7 linked regions of the Macaca fascicularis genome follow. The protein of the gene in region 2 purifies or fractionates together with the protein of the main gene of each other region. This does not show direct contact. Links are inferred from orthologs where the notes say so. Each region holds a gene or a part of one and is shown on either strand. Other genes may lie near its edges.

Region 1 (3,774 bases), on a different chromosome or scaffold from region 2:
TTGAATCAGGGAGCTAGCACCTTTGAGTTTTCCAAAAAAGCACGTCTCCCCAGTGTGTTCACTGTGATGTGGTGTAAAAGATCCACATTTAACATACTTAAACTACTTAAACTCGGATAACATCACTCTGAAGTATACTACCAAAATGTTAATTGAGAAAAGCTGAAAATAGTTTTAGTTTACTCATTATCACATGCTAGAAGAAAATTTTGCATGAGAAAACACTGAAGAGGTAATTTTTTAATCCAGATTTCACAAACTCATGGTGCAAAATGGGTCCCCCAGCTTCCTCTATTATAACTGCTCTTAACTGCTTGTTGGCTGCCTGTGAAAATTTGATTGAAATAACTCAAATGTTCCTAACAAAACTAGTCATAGCCACCCATGCTGTTCTGCCCACTATAGCCGGCCCCGTAACAGCCACTCACTGACTGGCTCTCCAGGCCACTATAAGTGGCCTGGGCAGCAGACACCCCCATGCCTTGCATCACCTGGCTGCTATACGCCCCATTGCTGGCCCCTGTTGTTGAATTCAAGAAGAGTTCTATGTATCTGTGCTGCATATTGGCCCTGTCTTTGGACATAGCTGCCACAGCTTCTTCATGAGTAGCAAACTCAACATCTGCTTCACCCGTCACTCTTCCATCTGGGCCGATCTCAATATGGACTCTCACAGGGTTGAGAGGAGAGAAGAAGTTGTAAATGTCGTTCTCGGTCGCTTTGTATGGCAGACCCCTCATGTGGACACAGTGGCCTGTGGTGCTCTGCACTGTGAACTCACTGTCGCCATATCTGTGGTCATACATTCCGGAGAGACAGTAGCTGAGATCTCTCCCGAACAGGTCGGTGGTGAAGCCGTAGCCATCACTGAGGCCACTGTACTCCTCGTAGCCCCCGTAGCCTGTGCTGTAGGCACCGGGCCTCATCCTCTCCAGGCCTGCCTGCTTCACGATGCCAATATACCTCCTGGCAGTCCCGGGCCGGTCATAGGGCCCTGGCCGCTGCACGGACATGAACTTCAGAGGGGGATCTGAGTATGACCTAACTTCCTCCTGGCTGCTCTTAAACACCTCGATGTACCTGTGCCCTATCCTCTCCTTGTGCTTCCCTAGAGCCTTCTCAGCTAACTCCTGCGAGGCAAACTGCACGAACGCTTCCCCTGTAATCTTGCCTTCGGGGTCCACAGGCAATGTGATCCCGTTTGGCACGATTTCCAACCCTGAGAAGAACTGAACAATTTCTTCCTTTGTGCATCCAAATGGGAGTCCTCGAAGCCGCACGAAGCCATCGTTGGCGCTGTCGGCACTGTTGGGACCGCTGTGCTTCAACACCCAATCCATCTCGGTTCTGTGGGACTTGAACACCTCAATGTACCGGTGTCCCATGCTTTCCCTGTCTTTTTTCAGGGCCATTTTTACATCATCTTCTGATCCAAGTTCAACAAAAGCCTCACCACTCTGCCTGCCCTCTCTAGTATAGATGAAATGGACACCTGCGGCCCCATCATGAATCGTGCAGTCAGAGAGGAAGTTCTGCACGTCCTCAACAGAGCAGGACCAGGGCAGGCCACGGAGCTTGACCACAAAGCCTTCACCTCCCTCAGGGCCCAGCATCATGGACACTTGACAGGGTGGGTGTCAGGTGATCTTGGGTGTGGCTTTTTTGTGGCTGGGAAAAAAAAAAAAAAAGACAAATTTATTTAATATGCACAACAAAAGTATGCAACAGAAAATTTCCCCATTTTACAGATGAGAGAGGTAGCAAGACATTAAGAAATATACCAAATACAATTGAGAGCTAAGATTTAACTCCAGGTTTCTCAAAAAATTACATGAGCAGTCATAGGCAATTTGAAAAAAATCAGGAGTTTACAAGACAGGACGATGCATGTGAACGTGGTGCCTTGAACACAGAGAAATGTAAATTTCAGTCAGGTGAGAGCAAGCGCATTTCCTTGTTATATTTATTCCACGTTTGTCATGATAATTATGTGGCAGTTCACTTATAAGAGCACCTCAGTTCTTCCTAAACTATAGGCCTTACATTTGGTTAAACAGTAAATTTAGTAAATTTTATTGTTTATGGTAGGATACTTTTACTTTCATGAGAGGGGATGGGAACATAGCAGGCTGTTTTTAAACCACAACATAGGGTAAGATTTTCTAATTTTCTCATCGGCAGTAATGTTGCCAGGATACAAGACAGTAACGGCTTACAGTGTCTACAGAGGTATGATTTTGCTCCCAAATCGTCAATTCAAACTAAATATCAGATTCACCAGTTCACATAAAATATAGCAGAATTGCTGTCTTTTGCTTAAGATCTAGAAGAGGGCACCGGGAAGAAAGGGCAATCGCAAGAGGGCTGAGAAATGCCCTTCCCACCAGGGTGGTACATGGCACTTGGAAGTCCAAACTCAAAGAATAAGGCCAACTACACACTAGAAGGCAGTCTTCTGAGAAAGAGCAGCAGCTGACCCAGACGCCAGGGTATACAGCATAGCCAGCCATAAGCAAGAAAAATACTGCAGTATTATGGTGCCGAAGACATATTTTTGTATGAACAATGTCAAAGATGATGCTCAAAATGAGCACAGGAGTATATGGAAATCTTTTTTTTTTTTTTTTTTTTGAGACAGAGTTTCACTCTTGTTGCCCAGGATGGAGTGCAGTGGCACGATCTTGGCTCACTGCAACCTCCGCCTCCCTAGTTCAAGCGATTTTCCTGCCTCAGCCTCCCGAGTAGCTGGGATTACAGGCATGCACACCAAGCTATTTTTTTTTTTTTTTTTTTTTAAGTAGAGACGGGGTTTCTCCGTGTTGGTCAGGCTGGTCTCTAACTCCCAACCTCAGGTGATCCACTCCCCCGAGCTTTTTTTTTTTTTTTTTGGAGACGGAGTCTTGCTCTGTCTCCCAGGCTGGAGTGCAGTGGCGGATCTCATCTCACTGCAACCTCCGCCTCCCAGGTTCCAGTGGTTCTCTCCCCTCAGACTCGCGAGTAGCTGGGATTACAGGTGTGTGCCACCATGCCCAGATAATTTTTTTTGTTTTTGTTTTGAGACAGTCTCAATCTGTCACCCAGGCTGGAGTGTAATGGCACAATCTCAGCTCACTGCAACCTCCGCCTCCCAGGTTCAAGAAATTCTCCTGTCTCAATCTCCTGAGTAGCTGGGATTACAGGCCACCACACCCAGCTAATTTTTTGTATTTTTAGTAGATACGGGGTTTCACCATGTTGGCCAGGCTGGTCTTTAATTCCTGACCTCAGGTGATCCGCCCGCCTTAGCTGCCCAAAGTGCTGGGATCACAGGCATGAGCCACCATGCACAGCTGGAAATCTAATGTTTCAAAGTGTCATTTTACATCAAGCATAACAGGTACAAGCTGCTAGTCTTTTCAAGCAATATGGGCTCATCATGTGGGGAAAAATGCTCCATTAAAAAAAACCCACAGTTTAAAAAACAGACAAAAAGTATAGGTAAGTGCAATTTAAGAAAAGGAAAAGCAAATTCATAATAAATGAAATGCTCAACTGCACTAGCTTCAGGGAAAACTAAATTAGTAACAAGTAGTTACCATTTTGACTGATCATATTAGTAATTTTAAAGTTTGATGTAGCCAATGCAGATGACATTTATCATACAGTGCTTCGTTATTTCAAATTGACAATGTCTAAAAGGATAATTGTGTAAATCTTTTAAATCTGCCTGTGTCTACACCAGATTATAAAGACAACAAGACATGTCTCTTCTCCCAATAACAAGCATAATGACAC
Region 2 (3,774 bases):
AGGCTGTCCAGGTGTTTGAGAAGATAACCTGGTACTGGAATTGAAGTTCTTCTCTCCTCTGCCCATAGGGGTTGTGTCCACTGTGGTCCCTGACTCTGCCCACAAGCTGTTCATCGGGGGCTTACCCAACTACCTGAACGATGACCAGGTAACCTCCGTGCCTCCCTCCAGTCCCGTGCCCCCCCGGCCCCATCTCAGCCCAGCCCTGATAGACTCTCGGCCGCTGCAGGTCAAAGAGCTGCTGACATCCTTTGGGCCCCTCAAGGCCTTCAACCTGGTCAAGGACAGTGCCACGGGGCTCTCCAAGGGCTACGCCTTCTGTGAGTACGTGGACATCAACGTCACGGATCAGGTGAGTCCCTGGCCCCTGGCCGCTGCCGCGTCTGTCCTTCCCTGCCTTGCGTCTGTTGCCAAGCCGTGGTGTCCCCTCCTCGGGACGGGGCGGGAGGCGGCCAACCTGAGGCAGTGCCCTGCGTGTGGGCTTGTCCTTGTCCCGTGGTGTTGGCTTTTTCCAGGCTCTTAATCCCCTTTGCCTTCCCCTCTTCCCCCACCAATGCCCCGGCTTGGGGGTAGGTGTTGGGCTCCCCGTCCCTGACCCACCTCTCCCGTACCCCTACCCCTCGTCCTCCAAACGCAGGCCATTGCGGGGCTGAACGGTATGCAGCTGGGGGATAAGAAGCTGCTGGTCCAGAGGGCGAGTGTGGGAGCCAAGAATGCCACGCTGGTGAGCCCCCCGGCACGTCATCTTCCATTGGCTCGAGGGACCCGGGGGTGGGAGGGCTGGCTAGGGACAAGCTTTCTGATCTTTCTCCCAGCTTTCATGGGAAGGCAGTTGGGGGGCGTTCAGTGCAGTGTTGGGGAGTGGAGCTTTAGGTGTTTAAGTGTAAGAGATGGCCTTTTCCCTGGGTGGGCATCTGAGGGGCATAGGCTTGAGCAGAGGGAGACTGGGTCTGGGCCCCCTGTGACGCCCCTGCCTCCCCTGGCCCCACAGAGCACCATCAATCAGACGCCAGTGACCCTGCAAGTGCCGGGCCTGATGAGCTCCCAGGTGCAGATGGGCGGCCACCCGACTGAGGTCCTGTGCCTCATGAACATGGTGCTGCCGGAGGAGCTGCTGGACGACGAGGAGTACGAGGAGATCGTGGAGGACGTGCGGGACGAGTGCAGCAAGTATGGGCTTGTCAAGTCCATCGAGATCCCCCGGCCTGTGGACGGTGTCGAGGTGCCCGGCTGCGGAAAGGTCAGGAGGCCCTGGGCTCAGAGCTTTCTCACCCTCTCCCCCTTCCTCTTCTCGCCCTCTCTTTCCTCCCTTCTCTCTCTCTTTCCTCCTTTCTCCCTCTCTTCCCTGTCCCTCTCCTCTCCTCAGTCTCCCTCTCCCTTCGCTGAGCATGCATATAGGTGTGTGCCATCACTGAGTGCTGCCCTCAGGCCTGGCCATAGGAGATGTTGGTGACGGTCTGAGGCCTGCAGGCGAGACAGTAGTTGGGGAATGCAGCTCTGTATTGCTTTAGAACTTGGCCCTGCTCCCCCTTCTTATATGGCCTTGCTTGTGCAAATGGTTTTGTCTGGTCTGTGGAGTGGGGAAGAGTGCTGGGAACAGTCCCAAGACACCTGCTGGTGTCTGCTATGTCAGGCACTCTGCTGAAGCTGTGTTTGCACTCACCCTGAGCCCTCTAAGTAGCTCCTGAGCTCCATTGTGGGAGGAGACAGGCACAGCTGGGGTGGCTCACACTGGCAGGTTTCAGGTTCTCGGAGTCTGATTTCAGAGCTCACTAAGTCCTGTCACCTCCAGCACCGTGACAGGTGTAACCAACTCACCTTGTCTGCCTTGTGAGACGGTGGTGGTGAGGGCGTGTGACCTGCTCTTTGATCCCCTTGTTCGGCGTATGTGTGGAATTCCCACCGTACCAGGCTTGGAGGGACCTCTGTTCACTACTGAGCCCTCAGTGTCTACATCAGAGCCTGGTACGATGATGCTGAGGGTTCAGTAGTGAACAGAGGTCCCTCCTGTCCTGTGCAGCAGAGGTCCTGGGGATGCAGCTGTTAGAGGACATGCATGCTGTGTTGATTCGGGGCAGGGGCGGCATTCCTGGGTGTGCTGTTCATTCAGGGTGGTCAAGGTTAAGAGGTGGCAGTGAGCAGGTGAGCGAGCGAGGTGGTGGGGCCCGGGCTGAGTGGCAGGCCTTGGAGGGCTGCATGGGTCTTAGAATGACCGGTTATTTTGAGCCAGATGGGAGGGAAGCAATACTGAGAGGCCTCCAGTGTGGTCACGCCTGGCAGATGGAAATGGCCCCACATGGTGAGGTTAGGGGTGGGCGCGGAGGCACAGCAGGTGCTTCCCTGGGCTCTGCCTCCCCTGCTTAGCCCTGCAGGGCAGAATGGGGATGAGCAGGAGGGCAGAGAGGGTGCTGTGGACAGGAGGCCTTGCTGGGGGCTGGCAGGTTTGGTGCTGCCGAAGTGATGCCACAGCCAGGTTTGTCAGGACCAAGGCTGGCTGTGCAGGGCCAGATTGGGCAGGGGGGCCTTGTCGTGGAAGCAGCTCGGCTTTCCCCTGGAGTGGTGGGCTTTTCAAAGAGAAAACAGTGCTGTGGTGCTGGCATTTTTGAGGTGATTATGGCTGCAGTTGGGAAGATGAACGGTGGGGAGGTGTCCCATGATAAACTGGGTGAAAGATGGTAATCTGATTTAAAGTAGCAGCAGGGGATGGAGAGTTGAAGGATTTGAGGGAGACTTGTGCCTGGGAAGTGTCCAGACTTTGGTGATCGGTGTGTTTGTGTGCGGGGGAGGCCTATGGGCTGCTCAGTAGCAGCTCTGATGGTGGGGACGGTAGGTGAGACGCAGGGGTGACAAGCAGGTTGTGGGGGTGAGCCGGGGGTGGGGCGGCTAGCTGGCTTTGGATTTCTGAGACACCCAGTAGAGATGTCGAGGATGAATTAGCTGGACAGGTCTGTGCTCCCAGCATGAGGGCTGATGGAACTCAGGTGTCAGGGTCCCGCTTGGGACCTCGGGATGGCGGAGTGGGAGAGCAGGGTCGGGATGGCGGAGTGGGAGAGCAGGGTCGGGATGGCGGAGTGGGAGAGCAGGGTCGGGATGGCGGAGTGGGAGAGCAGGGTCGGGATGGCGGAGTGGGAGAGCAGGGTCGGGATGGCGGAGTGGGAGAGTAGGGTTGGGATGGCGGAGTGGGAGAGCAGGGTCGGGATGGCGGAGTGGGAGAGCAGGGTTGGGATGGCGGAGTGGGAGAGCAGGGTCGGGATGGCGGAGTGGGAGAGCAGGGTCGGGATGGCGGAGTGGGAGAGTAGGGTTGGGGGGGCAGCTGGAGAGGTGGAAGGAGCATCTTAGAGAAGGGCAAGGGGAAGGCCGGCAGCATCTCCTCTCACTGCAGCTCCTGCCCATGCCCTCCAGAGTCCCCGTCCCTTGAGCTGGTATGTCAGGGCTGCTCTCTGGTGTTGGGCTGGAGCTTGGCTCAAGCAGGGGCTGAGGAAACATTTGTGGGAAGAAGAGAAGGAATGGAGAGACCCTGGCCTTTGGGATCAGCTGACCTGTTTTACATATTAAATTTATTGCATTGGCCGAGCGCGGTGGCTCACGCCTGTAATCCCAGCACTTTGGGAGGCTGAGACAGGCGGATCATGAGGTCAGGAGTTGGAGACAAGCCTGGCCAATGTGGTGAAACCCCGTCTCTGCTAAAAAAAAATACAAAAATTAGCCAGGTGTGGTGGCGCATGCCTGTAATCCCAGCTACTCAGGAGGCTGAGGCAGGAGAATTACTTGAAC
Region 3 (4,408 bases), on a different chromosome or scaffold from region 2:
GAGACTAATTGGAAGAAGCATTTTGTATTTACAGTTCAACTGATAATGCCAACACTTGTTACTGTACAGCGTATTACAGGTTTCGTGGTTGCAAGAAGTTACGTAATTTAAGTTTACTGGCATTGCTACCCACCTAAGTCTAAAACTATATCTAATGCTCCCATTTGCAATTTAATTTGTAAATTAAAGTCTTTTAAACATATGAATCAATTATGAATATTAGTTTAAAGGGGAAGGTGAGACTTAAAAGTATTCCCAACTAGATTATCTACACCAATACATTGGAACTCTATATTTTGCTTTCATTTTGTCTTAAAAAAATGAAATAGCAACGCTCTATCAGTCACACAGAGGACATGCAGATTTAGCAGTATTGATATTATACTCTATCTTGTTGGATTTAAAGACACCCTGTACCCACATGTACACCAACAGCAGGTCACACATTAACAGTTGTAACTAAGCACTGTGACAAATTAGCCAGTTCTTCCCACATTAGTCCCTATTAAAACAAAAATGGGGGGAAGGGAGCAAAATAAGTTGCTACAAAATGGGCAATATAATTTTGCCACAATTGCCAAGGTTTAAAGAGCAAAGCAATTGTAGCTAAAGATAACTGAATAAAATGTTTGCAAGTGTTTTAAGGAAAACGTATATAATCATTTTTAACCCCTGCCTTTTAGTATAAGGTCAATACTGCCAATTTCATCTGTGACAATAGCACTTGGAGTCATACCATTGCCTCCATTATTGATCTGATCCTCCTCAATCCTCCTTTTGACAATCCTAAAATGATTGAAATGTGCTCCACAATCCTTAATCCAAAGCATTCTTAATCCATCTCTTCAGATATGTCTACAGAAAGACACATGAAAAGCAAGATAAACATAAGAACTTCCCCAGGTAAGATAACCACAAACACCCCCAACATCCCAGTTCACACAAACCAGGGCAGAATAGACATTTACACAATATCACAGTCTGAAGAGTATGGAGTTAACTAAATTTAAACAATCCTGTCTATGACATCACTTAAAATACAATTTATCGAAGACACGAGGGGAATGTAGATGTTAGGAGCAAGGGGATATTACAAGAATGCAATTCAACACTTTAGCCCATTCTGAACAAAACAGTTTGAATTAAAAAATGAAAAGATTGTACTGAATAAAGGAAAACTGTATACAACATGGGTTCTACAAAAAGTGTCACCAATCATCTTATGTACGAGAGCGAGATCTGCTATGACGGGGAGAATAGCGTGGTGATCCTCTGCTTCTCCTTGGGGAGTAACTGCGACTCCTGCTGTTGCTTCTGCTACGGCTTCTGCTACGACTACGGCTTCGAGATCGAGATCTTCCATAACTTGGACTTCTGGGCCCATCAACTTTAACCCGGATGTAGGCAGTTTCTCCCTATTGGATAGACAGAACTTTCCATTGAAAGATCTAAGCTTTCATCTATCTTCAGGCATGCTGAATGCATACAATGCAACTACAACCAGAAATCTGGCAATTTACTTGGACACCCTTGCCTGAATTCTTACCTTCAAATTCCACTGTTAAGACCACTGTATCCAATTCTGGTCAAAGAAAAGAATAAGCGTATAACCTACCTCATGAGATCTAAACTTAGTGTTATCCAGTTTTCGAACTGCATAGGTCATATCTTCTTTCCGTACAAACTCCACGACACCAGTGCCATCTCGGTAAACATCAGCATAACATACATCACCTGCTTCACGCATGTGATCCTTTAAATCCTGCCAACTTCCACTTGGAGGCAGTCCTGAAAAAGTGATTTTTTTTCTTAGTATCAATTATCTTAAATTTCACGTTAAGCTGGTAAGATACATTAGAACAAAGAGTACTTTAAAATACTTAATAGGTGTACTTAAGTGATACCAGGTAAAGAGCTGGTAAGATTCTGGGATCCAGAGTCCAAAATTATTTGTAACGGATCTTCGTATCTAGTACCGCAACCTAATTTGGTAAATCACCACAGCAGCAATCCTCGTTTATTAAATTCACCCAAAAACTAAAGCAATTTAACACCTAGCATGAAAAATTTGCAATTGTTAAACCGATCATGCAAGACAAAAATTTTAGGTAGCTTCCGTCCCTTCACATCAATCCACACAACAAAGTACACTCACCAGAGACAACCACTCTGTTTTCAGACCGCCTGGATGGGGGGCCATAGCGACCTCGGGGAGCTCCGCCACCTCCACCCCCGCCGCCGCCTCGGCCTGTTCCACGGCCGCTTCGAGGAAACTCCACCCGCAGACGGTACCCATCGTAATCATAGCCGTCGCGACCATACACCGCGTCTTCCGCGTCTCTGCGGGATCGCAGAAAGTAAAAGGCATGAGAAAGACCAGGAGGAGAAGCTCGCTCAGTCGGGAACCCCCCGCACATGCGCACCCAACGTGGAAGAGCCCACATGCGCCGCATAATAGGAATGGCCCCTCCCCCACCCAGAAACACGCCAGGCTCCCAACCACTACACCAGCCCTCAGCGCCTCAGTTTCCCGCTCCAGCCTGCGAATGGGCTCCGGGGACGTCCAAGGCGAGGCGCCAGAGAAGCCACACCAACTCAGCTCCTTACTCGACTCCTGCATGGGCGATACAGTCTCGCCCCAACCTCTCTAAGAGCCCCCGCTTCCCCGTTCTCTATGTTAAGGCCTTGGAGCCTTCCCCGACTACTCGGACCTATTTCCTCAAGGCTGCAAGCCCCATGCCGCCTCACCGCGGGTCCTCGAACTCAACGAAGGCGAAGGGCGGTCCCCCGCGGCGATTCTTGAGGTCGATGTCGCGGATAGCGCCGTATTTGTAGAACACGTCCTCAATGTCCTTGGTTCGGATGTCTGGAGGTAAGTTACCCACGTAGATGCGGCAATCGTTGTTCCCTGCGGGGCCACGAATCACACCACCTCCCGACATGGCGGTGACGAAAAGCGCGGACTCGAGAACAGGCCTTCCCACCAAGCCTAGCGCACCGCAGAGCGAGCCCGCAGCGGCACCACGTCTCCCGCGGCCCCTCCAAAATGGCGCCTTTATCAGCTCGGCGCACGGATATGGGGGGGAGACAGAGGAAGAGAAGCGGAAGGAAACAGCGATTCGATCCCAACACGCACGCGCGGGAGCGCAACGGGTGCTGCGAGGGATACGCGCAACGCACGCGCACGCACGCGCGACGTCACCCTCCGCACGAAGGGGGAAAAAAAGTCCCCCGCGTTCCCCGCTTGGGGTGGTTTGCGAATAGAGTGAGCAGCCGTTTGGTAAAAGTTAAATAAAGAACTCTCGTTAAAGGAGCTAGTCATCCAGGTCGAGTCTTGAAGGATAGTCAATTTCCCCAGGAATGAGGAGCTTTGAAAGCAACTCGGCGCCTTCAAAGGACTTGGTGAAACCTAGCCTAAAGCCTTGTCCCACCATGCTCTGCGGCGATAACGGCCTTTGGCGGGAAAGAGACTCGGAGGCGGGGCTAAAGGGGGAGGGCTCGGGCCGTTGCTCCGGAAACCCGGGTATCTTCGTAGAGTGCGTCTGGTCCAGAGCTGAGTTGCCGGTGACTGAATAGAGAGCTGGGGCGTTGGTTTGTCTTCCCGCCCCTGCTGCGAACAAGCTGTGGCTGCTTAGACAGATGTGTCTAATTTAGCGAAACCGGTTTAGATTCCTTAATCCTTTTCATTAAGAACCATTCCACCTTCTCGTCAGAACTTTGCATAGCTCAGTTCAGCACTCTTTGTGCTAGTCGCAGTGGGCCCGTACCCCGACCTTTCAACGTGGTACCCGCCAACCAGAAGGGGTAACAGTACTGCTTCTGGTACCCACACCTCTTTATCTCTTGTTAATCGCCTATCCGTGGGACTAGCGCAGATTGCCTGCAGAATGAATTGTTTCTGTTGTTTCCTTTTAAAGAACGAGAAGGAAGAAAAGGTGCGTGTGTGCAGTCCTTTTTTCAAAAGTTTCCTCTAAAAGTTACTGAAATTGAAAATACCGGTCCTCCCAGGTAATAAAATGGACCGAAATGGATGAGAGCCGTATCCACTAGAGACCGCGGTTGCTATTCAGGACTGTGATCTTATTTGCCTGCGACATTGGGAGATAACATTTTACATTTTTTTTCGACGTCTGCAATCTGGATTTTTATGTGAAATCCTGGGATTTTTAAACGTCGCTAATGAATTCAAATTAAAATCAGGCTGGGCGCGGTGGCTCACGCCAGCACTTTGGGAGGTAGAGGCGGCAGATCACTTGAGGTCAGGAGTTCGAGACCAGCCTGGCCAACATGGTGAAATCCCGTCTCTACTGAAAAAAAAAAAATTAGCCGGGCTTGGTGGCGGGCGCCTGTAATCCAGCCTACTCGGGAGGCTGAGGCAGGAGAATCGCTAGAACCCTGGAGGTGGAGG
Region 4 (3,774 bases), on a different chromosome or scaffold from region 2:
AAACTCCTGACCTCAGGTGATCCACCCACCTCGGCCTCCAAAAGTGCTGGGATTACAGGCATGAGCCACCATGCCCAGCCTGCATGTTAAGATTTAAGAGATTTCATAGAAATTAAAAAAGTTTATGATAGAAAAAGCCAGATGCAAATTTGTTTATATAGTATGTGATTACAGATAAATATTTTTATGAAGATACAGCAACATAGTGGAAGAAGATTCAGTAGTTTATCAGTGATTATGTTTGGATATTGAGATTCAAGTAATTTTTCTCCTTTGTACTTTTTAATATTTTTCAGATTTATCATGTACTGAAGTTGTAAAGTATTTTTCTAACATGAGGTAAAACTACAGCTAATGTTTTCCTAGGCAGCCACTTGGTAATACTCTGTTCGTATTATCTGAAGATTTAGTTTTTTGTGGGGAGGGCGGCATTTGATAATGTCTTATTTTCTTCTGTCCAAATGGAATGGGCATTTTTGTATCATTTCTTAGATCTGAAACTCAGCACCGAGGCTCTGCTCCCCACTCTGAGAGTGATCTACCAGAGCAAGAAGAGGAGATTCTGGGATCTGATGATGATGAGCAGGAAGATCCTAATGATTATTGTAAAGGTAAGTTCATAAGGAGGTATGAAGTGAGACATGATCCATCTATTTGCAGTTTCTCATTTGGATGTTTGATCTATCAGCATAAACACAGTTTTATTGGTGTTTACTTGTATCCTTTTCTCTAAAACTTAGGAAATAGTATTTGTTCTTAGTCTGACTTAATTTATCAAAGCCTGATTTTATATTAAATGTTTTTACCTTTTTCCTCTTTAAAAGTTATAATACATATTTACCTTAGAAAATTCCAGAGCTGTGTTAAACAGAAAAGAATGTAAAAGCCTTCTGCAATGCTATCAACCACATATAACCATGGTAACATTTTGGCATATAGATTTTTACAAAATACCTTCTTACTACTTTTTTTCTCATAGTGATGGCTGTTAAGTTAAACTGGAATTACAGACACTTAAATGGTGTCATCAGGTTGCCTGTTACCTTTTCTGTTTCTTGATGAGACTTTCCGGAGTCTTTGGGTAGGAACACAAAATGGAATGTATCATACCATCTAGGAGAAGAACGTGGCCCTTATTGTCAGCTGGCAAAGATAAATATGAAAATACCTTGATTCTTGCCACTGTTGGCAGCTTTTTTGAGGCCTTCCTCTGTTTTCTGCTTTTTAGGGTTTTTTTTGTTTTGTTTTTTGAGACAGAGTTGCCCAGGCTGGAGTGCTGTGGAGTCTCAGCCTACTGCAGCCTCTGACTCCTGAGTTCAAGCGATTCTCATGCCTCAGGCACCCACCACCACGCCTGGCTAATTTTTGGGTTTTTTTGTTTGTTTTTGTTTGTTTTTTGTGTTTTTGTTTTTTTGTTTTTGAGAAGGAGTCTCGCTCTGTTGCCCAGGCTGGAGTGCAGTTGGTATGATCTCAGCTCGCTGCAACCTCTGCCTCCCGGGTTCACGCCATTTTCCTGCCTCAGCCTCTAGAATAGCTGGGACTATAATCGCCTGCCACCATACCCGGATAACTTTTTGTATTTTTTCAGTAGAGACGGGGTTTCACCGTGTTAGCCAGATGGTCTCGATCTCCTGACCTTGTGATATGCCTGCCTCAGCCTCCCTGCTGGGATTACAGGCATGAGCCACCTCGCCTGGCATTTGTTTGTTTGTTTTTGTTTGTTTTGAGACAATCTCACTCTGTCGCCCAGGCTGGAGTGCAGTGGCACGATCTCAGCTCACTGCAACCTCTGCCTCCTGGGTTCAAGCAATTCTCCTGCCTCAGCCTCCTGAGTAGCTGGGACTACAGGCACGCGCCATGACACCAGCCAATTTTTGTATTTTTAGTAGAAGACACGGTTTCACCATGTTGGCCAGGCTGGTCTCGAACTCTTGACCGCAAATGATCCACCCTCCTCAGCCTCCCAAAGTGCTGGGATTACAGGCGTGAGCCACTGCACCTGGGCTATTTGTTTTTATTTAGAGGAACAAAATCCCGTTTGCTTACTTGTTTTTGTTTGTTTTGTTTTTTGCTAAATAATTATTCTGTCTCCTAAAAAACACCTGAGACTGTAATTATAAATAGATATATATTAGATATATATGTTTAGATAAACTTACTGGATTATTGAGAGACAAGAATATTGTGATATACAACCTTTTTATTGTTTTTGGATGAGCCTGTTGTAGGCTCAATCTAAATCATTAATCTTATTCACTTTTTTTATAACATGAAGTCAGTAATACTATGTGGCTGATTTGACTATTAAGGCTTTCTTCTGTTGAATTGATTGTATAAAAGAAACTTTTTGTTGATAAAAGGTATATAGATGTTGAAAAATGTGATGTAAAAATGCCTTTTCTTACCATTGTTTCTCGTCCTGGTTTTTCTGATTTCCCCTGTGTCTTCCAGGAGGTTATCATCTTGTGAAAATTGGAGATCTATTCAATGGGAGATATCATGTGATCCGAAAGTTAGGCTGGGGACACTTTTCAACAGTATGGTTATCATGGGATATTCAGTAAGTTTTAGTGGTTCTGTAAAAAAATTAGTTAGATGATGTCTAAATATGTTTGTCTGAGTTTCCACTGCTGATCCAGACTTCAATCTATCTCTAGCCTGATACATTTATCAGAATTTTGTTGTTGGCAATAGTCTCTATATTCTTGGAGAAATCACTTTTCTTTCGTGAAGAATCGGTATTATATATCTCCCTTTCTACTTTAGAGACAAGAGTGATTAAATTAATGCTGGTAAAGCTTTTGTCGTTTGATTTTTTTGTTATTTTTATCGTTTTCTTTTCACCCAAATATTTCTTCTGGCTGCCTGTGGGAAAATATTACAGCTATTAACCTTTTAGTTTTTGCCTATATACAGATACACAGAACACTTGGAATTTGGTAATATCTTTCCCCTTATTTATCCTCATTTTGAAGTTTTGCTTGAAATTCAGGGAGATATTCAAAAGAAGGATTTTAACTCAGAGAAAATGTTCAACAACTGAGATTATCTGAGAACAGATCTTTTATTCTTCCTACAAATGAAATCTGGCCAGTTAGCATCATTAACAAGTACAAATGTTCCCATAGAAGTAGCTTGTTTGGGCTACAGGGAAACATGAAATCAGTATTTGTCCTTTTTAACCATCTTATAGCTAAACCTTAGCTTCCTAAAGTAAGGGTAGGCTATGTAGTCTTAATTGCCTGTGTTTGTTTCTTAGGGGGAAGAAATTTGTGGCAATGAAAGTAGTTAAAAGTGCTGAACATTACACCGAAACAGCACTCGATGAAATCCGGTTGCTGAAGTCAGTGAGTATTAGATTATATGTATGAATGCAAAGAATTATAAATATATCAAGTTTCATTGAATTAAAGCACACCAAGTGGAGACTCCTCAGCATGGATAATTTTCTCTATAAAGTTCTAGTATCCTTAAAGAGGTTAAGGAAGACAACAATATTTACACATTCCATGCATGTAGTAGGGAACTGGTGGGAAATGCTATGATTAGAATTATTACACACATGAACCAAAAAAAACCTTTCAAATGAATAAAAATATTCACTGAGCATGTTTTACAGGCCAGGTAACTACTGTCATAATGTTTTTCTTTCCTACTATGGTTAAAAGGAAAGTTGTGTAAATAAATGTATAGCATCTTTTTTGTTGTTTTCAAATATGTTATAGAATACATAATATAAAAATACTGTATTTACTGATTCCATTTATACCTGGA
Region 5 (3,774 bases), on a different chromosome or scaffold from region 2:
TTTGTGAAGCCCAGGCATCCAGACGGAGGGCCAAAAAAAGGGCCAGCATGAGGGGACCTAAAACTTGAACTCTTTGTATTTCTTGCTGCCCCCACGGCTGTCCTGGGGCTGAGCTTTCCGTTTCTTTTGCTGCATAGGGAGAAAGAGACACAGGTTATAACAGGTTGAACCACCCCCAGACCCCCAAAACAAGGGTGGGCAGCCTGACATAGACATAGAAGTCTGTGGGAAAGGTGCTGAATCTGGATTCTCTTCGAGCTCCCTCTCAGACTTGGCTGAGTTCCTCCCCCTCATCGTCCTTAAAGAGGGCAGCCCACTGGAGGATTTCTAAGACTTCCAAATCTAAGCGCACAGGGCAGCAAGCAGAGGCCACCCTCACTCTCACCACTAGAGGGCACCACACCACTGAAAACGGCAGGCCAGGGTCCCTGGCTCTCACCCAGCCCAGCGCCCCTGGAAGCGCCTACCTTCTGTTTGGCAGCATGCTCAGCCACCATGTCGCTGAAGTCCTCCTTCTCTACTTGAGCCTGCTGCTCCCGCACATGCTCCTCATACTTCTGGGTCATGGCCATAGGATCAAGCTCCAACTCCTCAGGCGCCAGCGCCACTTCCACACCTTGCAGTTCAGGAGCTGGGCCCTTCCGGCTCATAACCTGGAAAGGAGATCAGGGCCTTGTCACCTCCAAAGAGAGTCAGAGAAGCCCTAGCTTCTGCCGCCCTTCTCAGCCTCCAAAAGCAGTATGTCCTCCAAGTACTCACCGTGGACATATCATAAATGTGGGTTGATCCCATCATGGCTCCCCCAACAGTGGCTGTTCTCTTCTCTGGCAACACGGTGAAGAGCTGAGGTGTCTCACTTCTGTGAAGGACAATGGGATCAGGCCCAAAAAGGAAGGGACAAAAGGGTCTCCAGAAGCAGAAACAAAAGATACAGGTGGCACCTCCACTCAGCGCCTTGGAGAGCTTCTGAGCTCCCCAAGGATGCAGCCTCTGCAGTTCATGGAAGCCCATGACAGAAAATAATTGGGCAGGGGGAAGGGGAGGGTGGCACAGTGCTGACTCCAGGGAACACAGATGGAGCTAAGGGGCCCCCTAAACCAAGTTAGGGGATCACAGACCAGGACTCCCACATGTACAGAAGGGTCAAAAGGTCAGAGAGGCTCAAAGTTTCCAAGAGAACTTTGGTACAGAGAAGCTAGCAAGAGAGAGCAGGTGACAACAGTTCCCACCCGAAGAATGTCATGCCTTGAGTTCTCATGTACGTAATTCACACTTCAGGCCTTCCGACGCAAGAGCCATCCACAGCCAGTTTCACCACTAATTTCAAGGATTACACTAGGAATAAGAGCACCTCTACCACTATTACCCCAGACTGTGTCCATCATCTCCACCTCTCCCACTGGAAGAGGTGACAATCTATTCTCCACACAAGAGCCAGAGAAAATGGCTTAAAATGGATTGCAGGTCCTGTCAGACCTTTGCTCAAAACCCTCTGAGGCTTCTGATCATTATCTGAATAAAATCTAAACTCCTTACCATGACCTAAAGGGTTCATAGCCTGATCCCTTACCCAAGCCCTCCTCACTATACTCTGTCCACAGTACCCTTCTTTATTTTTCTTCCTTGAATATGCAAAGCTTGAGACTTCTGCTTCCTGACAAGGAGCAACAGGAACCAGATACACCCTCCTGCCTGAAACAACCAAAAAATGGGCAAAATATATGAAACAGTGGTTTTCAAGACACTAGACATGGGGCAACAAAGCACAGTGATTCCTGCAAGATAGGAAACAAATGCAATGAGCCCTTCAACTGCCCCAGCATACTGCACCAAGAGTTTGCAGGCCACAGAACAGAGGGAAGACGCATGGAGAGCCCTGAGGACTCCATGAGTTGGGAGGATGAAGCTGAAAGTCCAGGGAGATCAAGGCAGCTAGAGTTCACAGGATAGAGTACTGAAGAAAAGAGCTGAGAGAGAACTCAAGAGACCTAGAGAAGGTCCTCAAGTATGCAGGGGAGTACTAAGCAGCACATGCCTACCAAGGACAGGGAAAGAAGCACCCGAAAGGATTCGTAACAGCACCTGCTGCTCACTCAGAACTGGGAATAGTGCAACTCCCACTAGCCAGACGGAAAAACCTCCTGATTCACAGGGCGGTGGGTAGAGTCCACAGGCACTTGTGCCTCACAGTGGGGAGGACTGCTTCAGTCCTGCCTCAAGAACCCCAAAAACAAGACCTGAAAGGATCAAACTAGCTCCATATAACTATATTCCTGAATGAGCTGAAGAAAATCTACAGGAATACAAAAATATCATGGACCCAACAAGGTAAATTTCACAAAGCCTAGCATTCAGTAAAAAATTACCAGGCACTGGACAGGTCTGGTGGCTCACACCTGTAATCCCAGCACTTTGGGAAGCTGAGGCAGGAGGACTGCTTGAGCTCAGAAGTTCAAGACCAGCCTGGGCAACACAGTGAGAACCTCTCTCAAAAGAAAAAAGGAAAAGAAAAAAAAATTACCAGGCATGCAAAAGAGTAGGAAAATACAATCCATATGAGAAAAATGAATCCACTAATGGCAATCAACCCAGAAATGGCACAGATGTTAGAGTTAGCAGACAATACATTAAAATGTTGTTACAGCCAGGTGTGGTGGCTCATGCCTATAATCCCAGCACTTTGGGAGGCTGAGACAGGCGGATCACCTGAGGAGTTCAAGAACAGCTCGGTCAACATGGTGAAACCCTGTCTCTACTAAAAATACAAAAAAAGTAGCTGGGTGTGGTGGCACACACCTGTAGTCCCAGCTACTTGGGAGGCTGCGGCACAAGAATCGCTTGAACCTGGGCAGCAGAGGTTGCCATAAGCCGAGATTATGCCACTGCACTCCAGGCTAGGCAACAGGGTAAGACTCCATCATAAAATAAAATAAGATAAAATAAAAATAAAATATTGTTATAACTGCATTCCACATGTTCAAAAAGTTAAGAGAGAAAGAATAGATTTAAAAGACCTGAAATCAAACTTCTAGAAAGGAGAATTATATTGTATGGGATTACTGTTAGACCAGAAATTACAGAAGAAAATAATAGTAAACTTGAACACATAGCAATAGAAATTTTCTAAAGTGAAATACAAAGAGAGAAGAATTTCTTTAAAAATGAAAAGCATCGGCCGGGCGCAGTGGCTCAAGCCTGTAATCCCAGCACTTTGGGAGGCCGAGACGGGCGGATCACGAGGTCAGGAGATAGAGACCATCCTGGCTAACACGGTGAAACCCCGTCTCTACTAAAAATTACAAAAAAATAGCTGGGCGAGGTGGCGGGTGCCTGTAGTCCCAGCTACTCGGGAGGCTGAGGCAGGAGAATGGCGTGAACCCGGGAGGCAGAGCTTGCAGTGAGCCGAGATCCGGCCACTGCACTCCAGCCTGGGCAACAGAGCAAGACTCCGTCTCAAAAAAAAAAAAAAAAGAAAAATGAAAAGCATCAGTGAGCAGTGGGACAACTTAACAGAGGAATAAGGTGAGAGGAAAGAGAAGGGAACAGAGAAAATATTTGGAGAAATCATGACCAAAATTTCCCCCAAATTAATAAAAACTAAAAACCCAGATCTAAGATGCTTTAAAAACCCCAAGCAAAGGAACACTCGGAAACTACACCTAGGCACATTGCAGTCAAATTGTTAGAACTAGCGATAAAATCTTAAAAACAGCCAAATAAAAATGACACATTATGTACACAGGAACAAACGTAAGAATGACAGCAGCTTTCTCA
Region 6 (4,526 bases), on a different chromosome or scaffold from region 2:
CTGGCTAGATTATGATACTTACAGCTTAATGAGGTGATAACAAGGGAGTAGGAGGGCTCTCTTGTTTTCCACAGTATCCTGGGACTTCATCTAGTACTGAGGCTGCACACCACTGCTTTAACAAAGACTTGGATTTTTCCTTTAAGTATATGACACATTATAAAGAGGGGATTTTCAAAAACTGAAAGAAACTTTAAGAGACTGTGCAGCCTTATAATTTTTGGATTTTAACTGTGGAATAATTTAAAAGACATCTTATGCAGAAACTCAATAGTCAAAGCGGATAAAAGTAGATCTAATCTAGTTTAAGAGAGAAGTATGAGCCTTGCTTACTTGAGAAAAAGGTATTTATTTCCCCTAAGAAGCTCCCCAAAGCAGCTCCACAAAACCCCGAGAGCAGTTATAAACCCATGGGTTTAGTTTGACTTTTTCTCATATTACAGATAAGGAAATGGAGGAAACCAAGGCCTCCAAAGGTTAAGTTTCTTATCCTAAGTAAAGGAACTATTAGTAATGCTTATGAATAAGTGCATTGAGTTAGTAGTTAACACTAGTAATGGTGGGTGACTTACACAGGATTGAATCCTTGGTAAATCTACATCAACAAGAGTTCTTAATTAGCAACTATTTTCCTACACTGTCACATTGGTGGTCTACTTCATATCTATACTCAAAGACATCAACTACCTTTCCTAAATTCATGGCAGATAAATGACTTCAGATCTCTGTACTACACGTAATTAATGGAAGCCACACCTTTCTGCACATACCATTTCAATTATTATAAACTAATAGCGCCTTTGATTCTGTTCTTTACTCCAGGCCCTTGTATACAACTGGGTGATTCGAATTCAACTGTCCTGGTTTGAGAACATTTCTGACCAAGGGAACTTAGGAAAATAGTCGTGAGGAATTAAGCATGAAATATACAACACCACGTCCTGCCATGTGTCTGTATATCCAAAGAGCCCACTCCATTGAATAAACCTTTCTCACCTGGGAATTTGGCTGGAATGCAGCATGGGGTGTTGAGTGTTTCTGTAAATTTTCTAGCATTAGAGCCTGGTATAGAGAAGGGTAAAAGTCAGAAATGATGAGGAAAAAAAAAGAAAAACTCCCACCTCTACCACAACCTCTTAATTAAATGCAATGACTTAAATACACACAATTAAACTGTATTCCCCTTCCAGGGACCTGAAAATCCTTTACTGACACTGTTCTCATTCATCACCAGAAGACCCTTAAAGGTAGCCACGGTTACTGTTACTAAACGTACAGATATAAAATGCAGGCACACAGAATCAGTGACCTGGCTATGTCACAATATCAGTAATAGAACCAGTACTAAAATCCCTGTTGTCTTCTGCACTTGTGCCAAGTGCCCCTTCTAAATCTGATCATGCAGGTAAAACTACTTAAAAATACTCAAACCAGCAGCCATGGGGCTCCTGGTTTTTGCCTGATGGAATTACTTGGTCAAAGGGTTACCCAGGACTAGAGTCAATTTGTATAATTTCCAGTACTGTGGCACCTAGATTTACCAAATTTACAAAATTTTCAAAGAGGAGGCTACAGAAGAAAATGACCAGAGACCCTGTGAACTGTGGTCTAACCTAGTCCGTCCATCCACACACACACACACACACAATCAGCTTCTGTATAAGCAACGGTCTGCCAACTCAACCCTGGAGCCAACCCAGACCTAATCTGCACTACCTGCCACGTATCCTATTGAACTCTAATTAAAACCAAGACATCCTCATCTTCCCTTCTTTAAACCAAACCTATACACTCGAATCGATCTACACCTACCTCATGACATTCCCACCTTAATCTACTTAAACTGATTCAAAATCCCCAATATGTATCAACCTGCCTCGCCTCTCTCACCAATATTCACCAAACTCTTAACTACCCAAATTGCCACTAGATGCCCTATAAATTAGACACCTCTCTCATCAAGTCCCTTCACATAAAGGTCTCTCTTCATCTCACCTCATCTAATCGAGCAGACATTTTACCCTACCCCAATCCTATTCCTGCAGATACCGATACCAACCCCATCCACCCCTCCGCGCAACTATACCCCTAACTCCGACCCAGCCCAACTCGCCCCCCTCAGGCCAGCGACGCCGTAGGTTGTAGTGGGATTTAACTCCTTCTGCAGCGCATGCGCCGAAACCACAGATACAAACAAGGAGGGGGTGGGGGAAGGAGGAAGGAGCTTAAGACACTCCTGGAGAGTAGTGCACACCCTCCCATTTGGGCTCGCGCTGCTGCCGTTAAGGCGGGAACCGGCGCGATCGCCATTCCAGCGCGAACCTCACCAACCACCGTGCGCGCGGATCCAGAGGCTCGCGCTGGCGGCCTGAGCGAGCTCGCGCCGAGCCCGGATACTGCGCCTGCGCCGCGGCAGAGGCTCGTCTCTACCGGGTCCGCTCTCCTCCGACACCCCAGCAACGCCGACTCCTCACCCCTTTGAGCCGCTTGACCAGGGCACTCTTCTGCCCGCTCTTGGCTAGGCCTCGCTGCTCCAGTGCGGCCTTCAGGTCGGTCACCCGCAGCGCCTGAAGAGGCTTCCCGTCCAGAGTCACCTCCTCCAGCTCCGCCATCTTGCGTGAGGTACTCGGGTCCGTCCCGACGGCTTCGGGCATCTTCGGTAATTTCCGCCAACGCCCTTCGAACGTACCGAGATGACCCCGCCCACTGCCATACTCTACCCCTCGATTACCACTCAGAACTCCCCGGCTTCCTCCGGATGTCCTCGGATATTTCCGTCTCCACATCGGCACCAATCAATTCTTTCCATCCGCCCTGCAGCTCCCCTATTCTCGCCCTGCTTTCAGGCTCGGTTTTCTTCGTCTTGCCGAAGCTTTGAATCGAATATATTCGGAAGCCCTCGACTCTGGTATAACCATAATCGGAGATGTTCGTTTATCTCCGGACCTAGAGATGAGGCGCTGGGGCTCTTGGGTGTTTGGGGCGGGTCCGAGGCCGGAAGTGCGTGGGCTGCCGGGCTGGCCCAGCTTAGGGTTTTCAGGAAATTTGGAAGCTGCAGCGGTAGTTGGAGTCTAAGGACTCCTGACAATCTTCGGGTGCTCTCCGAGAGAAAAGGGGAGGTAAGCGGGGTGGAAGTACCTCTATGGGCCGGGTCAGACTCGGTGTTTGCGGACTATCCTAATAGGGCAAGCCACCTACTTCTTAACGCAAACAGCTTCTGCCCTCTGTCCTCTGAATCCCAGCCACTCCCATCTTAGGCTTTTTTTTTGGTGGGGCCTGTGGAGGGGGGCGGAATCGGAATAACAAGCTCCGTGGCCTCCAAAGTGGGGAAGAGGCAGGCAGCGCCGTGTCTTCAGACCCAGACTATGAACTGATTTATGACGCTCAACTTGAGTTTGAGTTTGCGTTTGCCTGGGAAGCCGTGTGGCAAGAAAATTCTCCATTTCTCCGAAGAAGAGAGTAAGTTCCCTTGGAGGAACTGCTTCCTGTAGGGCAAGAACTGAAAAATGCAAGCGCCCTGAACTTTTTTGGTACTTGAACTCATATTGTTTAGGGGCTTCTTTCTTTGTCACTAGCAATCCTCCAACTTGATGCAGAAGAAACACAAACAGTAAAATAGGTCACAGACAAATGGTTTAGAGATTTAAGAGATATGTTAGAGATTTAAGAGACTGAAAACTATTGAAGTCAAATAGGCTGATCTTTCCGTTGCATTCATGATGCAAAATTAATGTCAAGGCGCCGGGCGCGGTGGCTCATGCCTATAAGCACTTTGGGAGGCCGAGGCAGGCGGATCACTTGAGGTCAGGAATTGGAGACCAATCTGGCCAATATGGTGAAACCCCGTCTCTAGTAAAAATACAAACAAATTAGCCGGGCGTACGCCTATATTCCCAGCTGCTCGGGAGGCTGAGGCAGGAGAATTGCTTGAACCCGGGAAGCGGAGGTTGAAGTGAGCTGAGATCACGCCATTGCACTCCAGCCTGGGCGACAGAGCAAGACTCCGTCTCAAAAATAAATAAATAAATAAATAAATAAATAAATAAATAAATAGCAAGGCACCAATAGATGCCATACTAAAAAAAAAAAATTTTTTTTTGTCACTCCACTCTGGGTCATTCCACTCTGAACCAGGCTAGAGTGCAGTGGTGTGATCAGGGCTCACTACAGCCTCAACCTCCCGGGCTCAGGTGATCCTCCTACCTCAGCCTCCTAAGTAGCTAGGACTACAGTTAGGCACCTCTACGCCCAACGAGTTTTTAAATTTTTTGTAGAGATGAGGTTTTGCCATGTTGCCCAGGCTGGTCTTGAACAACTGGATTCAAGCTATCCTCTTGCCTCGGCCTCCCAAAGTGCTGAGATTACTTTGGAAGTGCAAGAGCCACTGTGTCTGGCCCATACTAAATATTAAGGGCAATTGTTTAAAAACATGGATTGTCATGAAGTAGTGTAACAGTTGTTAGATCTCTAAGCCAACAAACCAACTGGACTCTCTTTAAAGTCTCAAACACCCGGGCTTCTGGTTC
Region 7 (3,016 bases), about 54 Mb from region 2:
CTCGTTGAATTTGTCCTTCAGCATCTTCCATGTGAAATCGAATGGGAGCTAAGGAGGAAGGAAAAAAGGGAGACTGATGTGTGATTAAACCAAATCCTAAGGCACGCCTTGCAGCTGACTCTGAGGGCTACACTAGATTTCTTACTATACCAAGAAGCTGGCTGCTCTTCAGACTGAGGCGATCAGCAGGGAACTAATAGGTCCACGTGGGACAAGGCTGTGAAGTGGCACAGCCAGCTCCCTCCCTGGGGCTCAGACTGTGGGAGCACTGTGCAGGATGGGACGCTTGGGCCTGTGGTGCGCAGCCCACAGTCACTAAATAGTGGCTAAGAGTGGCTGAGCTGGGGAAAATAATTCCGTTACAGCCACTTCTTTCCCTGGATCACTGTGCAAGACACAGTGCCTCTTCAAGCCAAGCAATCAGAAACTGCAGTCTCTGAGCTCAGAGTCTGCTCCATATTCTAGCGCAGTGGAGAAGCCCAGGCTCTTCCAGAACCCACAGTTCTCACATTCCTTACTTGTCCCACTAGCATAAAACGTTTGGGACAGGAGCAAGGAGATGTGGTCCTCTTTGGAGGGCGCCACCTCTGACTTCATCCTGCTGATCTTTGTCTCCCCTGTCCCCTCATGCTCACCACCACCAAGAAGTTCCCCAAGAGCCACTTACATTTCTCACAAATATCTGGCAGGCCTTCCTGGCCACCCCAGGAGCATGGCCTCCAGCTCCACCAAAGGAGCCTGCGAAACTTCCTCCAAAGTTGCCACGCTCCATCTCGATGGCACGGTCAAAGCTGGCACCGCCACCGCCACCCATGGCCAGGCCCATGCGCTCAATGCCAGCGCCCAGGGCCGGGCCCATGGCGGGGCCCATGCGCTCGAGGCTGTTGGCACCCATGCGCTCCAGGCCCATGCGCTCGAGGCTGTTGGCGCCCATGCGCTCCAGGCCCATCCGCTCCAGGTTGTTGGCGCCCATGCGCTCCAGGCCGGTGGCCATGCGATCCATCACGGGGCCCATGCGCTCCAGGCCAGCCCCCATACCTGCGGGCACCATGCGCTCCATGCTCAGGCCCATGCGCTCAATGGCAGGGCCCATGCGCTCCACGCCAGAGCCCATGCGCTCAATGGTCTGGCCCACACGGTCGATGGGAGCGGCCATGCGCTCAAGGCCGAAGCCCATGCCGGCACCCATGCGCTCCACGCCTGAGCCTATGCGCTCCATCGTCTGGCCCATGCGCTCGATGCTAGACGCCATGTGGTCAAGGCCCAGCGGGCCCATGCGCTCAATGCCGGAGCCCATGCGCTCCACGGAGCCCATGCGGTCCATGACCAGGCCCATGCGCTCGATCTCGGAGCCCACGCGATCCATGCCGTGGCCCAGGCCTGCGCCCATGCGCTCCATGCCGGCACCCCCGAGGCGGTCAATGCCAGGACCCATCCTCTCGATCCCAGGGACGCTTCCTCCACCTCCACCTGAAACAGGGACACAAAACACAGGTTGGTGTCAAGAACTTAAGTATGCGTGTGTACAACACGCCAGACCACTTCAGCTCATGGGCATGGATCGGGGTAAAGGCCCACCATAATTTACCGTTAAGACACCCCTCAAATGTTGACAACAGCTACAGCTGGGTGATGGACTCATGAGGGCCTCCCAGCATTCTCTCTGCTCTATGCCACAGCTGAGATTTCCATAACACAACTTCTAAAGAACACCCCTGTATGTGTGTCTGTGAGGTGCTAGTGTCTGTGACAAGCTTTGTGAACCATGGATGTCAATTCCTGAGACCTCTGAGGTTTCTCCATCAGCAGACACTGAGAAATGCTCCAGGGGGAGGCAAGGACACCCCCCACTCAGAAGGCCACCCAGGGTAATGAACAGGAGTTACGTGGAGACAAGTCCAAGTTACTCCCACCTTCCCCTCCCACCCTGTCCCTCTCGGATGCTCTGCTGGGGGCCACTCTGGCTGCGTTTCCTCAGCGCTTCCAGGGAACAGAGAAGGATTTTCGGCCACACCATCAAGCAGAGGTCAAAAAACACACACCGAGAGATCCTCTGTGTACAAATGCACACAACTGGCCACTTCTGGGGACCTTATTATTACAGAAACCAAATGATCTGCTGGCTTTGGAAAGAAGATGTTGATGGAACTGCAGACTGGGCTCTGGTGGCAGCTGGGGGTCAGCCAGCAGAACAAAGGGACCCCCCACCCGTAGTGCTTGCAACTCTGGAAAGCAAGGGTCTGGCTCCATCAGCAAGGCCACCCCTTTCCACATGCCGAGCTTGGGGCTCCTCCCCGAAACCCTGTCGTTTGCCTCTGAGAGTGGCCATCAGCCCAGAGCCAGCCTGTGACTGACCCAAGCAGCCTAGTCAAAAATTCCAATTCAAGAGGAAACTCAGCAGTTTCTCTAATTGGCTCTACAACTGACCACAGACAAGTCTCTCTGTTGCTCCGTACTTGCTTCCTTAGCTGCAGAGCAGCACACTGAGAGACAAAAAGCAGGCCCAACTTTAAGAATGTGTGACTTTCAGAGGGGAGACGTCTCAGAACTTCCCCACAGTATAAGGAACCTAGCGAGAATGGGCACTTTGCCCAAAGGCATCAGAAATGAGGTGGGGCGGCTGGATGTGGTGGCTCATGCCTGTAATCCCAGCACTTTGGGAGGCTGAGGCGGGCGGAACAAGGTGAGGAGTTCGAGACCAGCCTGGCCAACATGGTGAAACCCAATCTCTACTAAAACTGCAAAAATTAGCTGGGCATGGTGGCGAGCGCCTTAGTCCCAGCTAGTCAGAAGGCTGAGGCAGGAGAATCACTTGAACCCGGGAGACGGAGGTTAGAGTGAGCTGAGATCGTGCCACTGCACTCTAGCCTGGGCGACAGGGTGAGACTCCGTCTCCAAAAAAAAAAAAAAGAAAGAAATGAGGCAGGGCAACTCCCAATGCCAACAGAAGCAAAAGACTGGGAAGAAATGGTGCCGGTGTGGAGCTCCAGAGCCAGCCCAACACAGATGTCAGGAG

What was found.
Region 1: the proteins of U2AF2 (region 2) and HNRNPF fractionate together in Homo sapiens (co-fractionation; 3 studies listed by BioGRID, with this or other methods). This does not show direct contact. The link is inferred for Macaca fascicularis from reciprocal best matches to the Homo sapiens genes U2AF2 and HNRNPF.
Region 3: the proteins of U2AF2 (region 2) and SRSF1 purify together in Homo sapiens (affinity purification with mass spectrometry; 4 studies listed by BioGRID and IntAct, counting the BioPlex papers as one, with this or other methods). This does not show direct contact. The link is inferred for Macaca fascicularis from reciprocal best matches to the Homo sapiens genes U2AF2 and SRSF1.
Region 4: the proteins of U2AF2 (region 2) and SRPK1 purify together in Homo sapiens (affinity purification with mass spectrometry; 3 studies listed by BioGRID and IntAct, counting the BioPlex papers as one, with this or other methods). This does not show direct contact. The link is inferred for Macaca fascicularis from reciprocal best matches to the Homo sapiens genes U2AF2 and SRPK1.
Region 5: the proteins of U2AF2 (region 2) and SF3B2 purify together in Homo sapiens (affinity purification with mass spectrometry; 3 studies listed by BioGRID and IntAct, counting the BioPlex papers as one, with this or other methods). This does not show direct contact. The link is inferred for Macaca fascicularis from reciprocal best matches to the Homo sapiens genes U2AF2 and SF3B2.
Region 6: the proteins of U2AF2 (region 2) and ACIN1 purify together in Homo sapiens (affinity purification with mass spectrometry; 3 studies listed by BioGRID and IntAct, counting the BioPlex papers as one, with this or other methods). This does not show direct contact. The link is inferred for Macaca fascicularis from reciprocal best matches to the Homo sapiens genes U2AF2 and ACIN1.
Region 7: the proteins of U2AF2 (region 2) and HNRNPM fractionate together in Homo sapiens (co-fractionation; 4 studies listed by BioGRID, with this or other methods). This does not show direct contact. The link is inferred for Macaca fascicularis from reciprocal best matches to the Homo sapiens genes U2AF2 and HNRNPM.

The regions. Positions count from the first base shown.
Region 1 is NC_088383.1:52,665,819-52,669,592, forward strand, and holds part of HNRNPF (heterogeneous nuclear ribonucleoprotein F), read right to left. Parts: intron 1,669-3,774; 5' UTR 1,617-1,668; coding exon 369-1,616; 3' UTR 1-368.
Region 2 is NC_088393.1:63,623,311-63,627,084, forward strand, and holds part of U2AF2 (splicing factor U2AF 65 kDa subunit), read left to right. Parts: intron 1-68; coding exon 69-352; intron 353-637; coding exon 638-724; coding exon of another isoform or gene 725-736; intron 737-991; coding exon 992-1,240; intron 1,241-3,774. UniProt on the Homo sapiens protein: Plays a role in pre-mRNA splicing and 3'-end processing. By recruiting PRPF19 and the PRP19C/Prp19 complex/NTC/Nineteen complex to the RNA polymerase II C-terminal domain (CTD), and thereby pre-mRNA, may couple transcription to splicing.
Region 3 is NC_088390.1:48,706,189-48,710,596, reverse strand, and holds the start of SRSF1 (serine/arginine-rich splicing factor 1), read right to left. Parts: upstream 3,052-4,408; 5' UTR 2,943-3,051; coding exon 2,749-2,942; intron 2,341-2,748; coding exon 2,156-2,340; intron 1,789-2,155; coding exon 1,616-1,788; intron 1,416-1,615; coding exon 1,229-1,415; intron 856-1,228; coding exon 833-855; coding exon of another isoform or gene 817-832; 3' UTR 1-816. UniProt on the Homo sapiens protein: Plays a role in preventing exon skipping, ensuring the accuracy of splicing and regulating alternative splicing.
Region 4 is NC_088378.1:135,782,643-135,786,416, forward strand, and holds part of SRPK1 (SRSF protein kinase 1), read left to right. Parts: intron 1-464; exon of another isoform or gene 465-466; coding exon of another isoform or gene 467-492; coding exon 493-611; intron 612-2,451; coding exon 2,452-2,560; intron 2,561-3,259; coding exon 3,260-3,347; intron 3,348-3,774. UniProt on the Homo sapiens protein: Serine/arginine-rich protein-specific kinase which specifically phosphorylates its substrates at serine residues located in regions rich in arginine/serine dipeptides, known as RS domains and is involved in the phosphorylation of SR splicing factors and the regulation of splicing.
Region 5 is NC_088388.1:8,324,342-8,328,115, forward strand, and holds part of SF3B2 (splicing factor 3B subunit 2), read right to left. Parts: intron 860-3,774; coding exon 760-859; intron 654-759; coding exon 468-653; intron 130-467; coding exon 58-129; 3' UTR 1-57. UniProt on the Homo sapiens protein: Component of the 17S U2 SnRNP complex of the spliceosome, a large ribonucleoprotein complex that removes introns from transcribed pre-mRNAs.
Region 6 is NC_088381.1:90,850,283-90,854,808, forward strand, and holds the start of ACIN1 (apoptotic chromatin condensation inducer in the nucleus), read right to left. Parts: upstream 2,955-4,526; 5' UTR 2,787-2,954; coding exon 2,475-2,786; intron 1,063-2,474; coding exon 997-1,062; intron 1-996.
Region 7 is NC_088393.1:9,176,978-9,179,993, reverse strand, and holds part of HNRNPM (heterogeneous nuclear ribonucleoprotein M), read right to left. Parts: intron 1,471-3,016; coding exon 668-1,470; intron 49-667; coding exon 1-48. UniProt on the Homo sapiens protein: Pre-mRNA binding protein in vivo, binds avidly to poly(G) and poly(U) RNA homopolymers in vitro. Involved in splicing.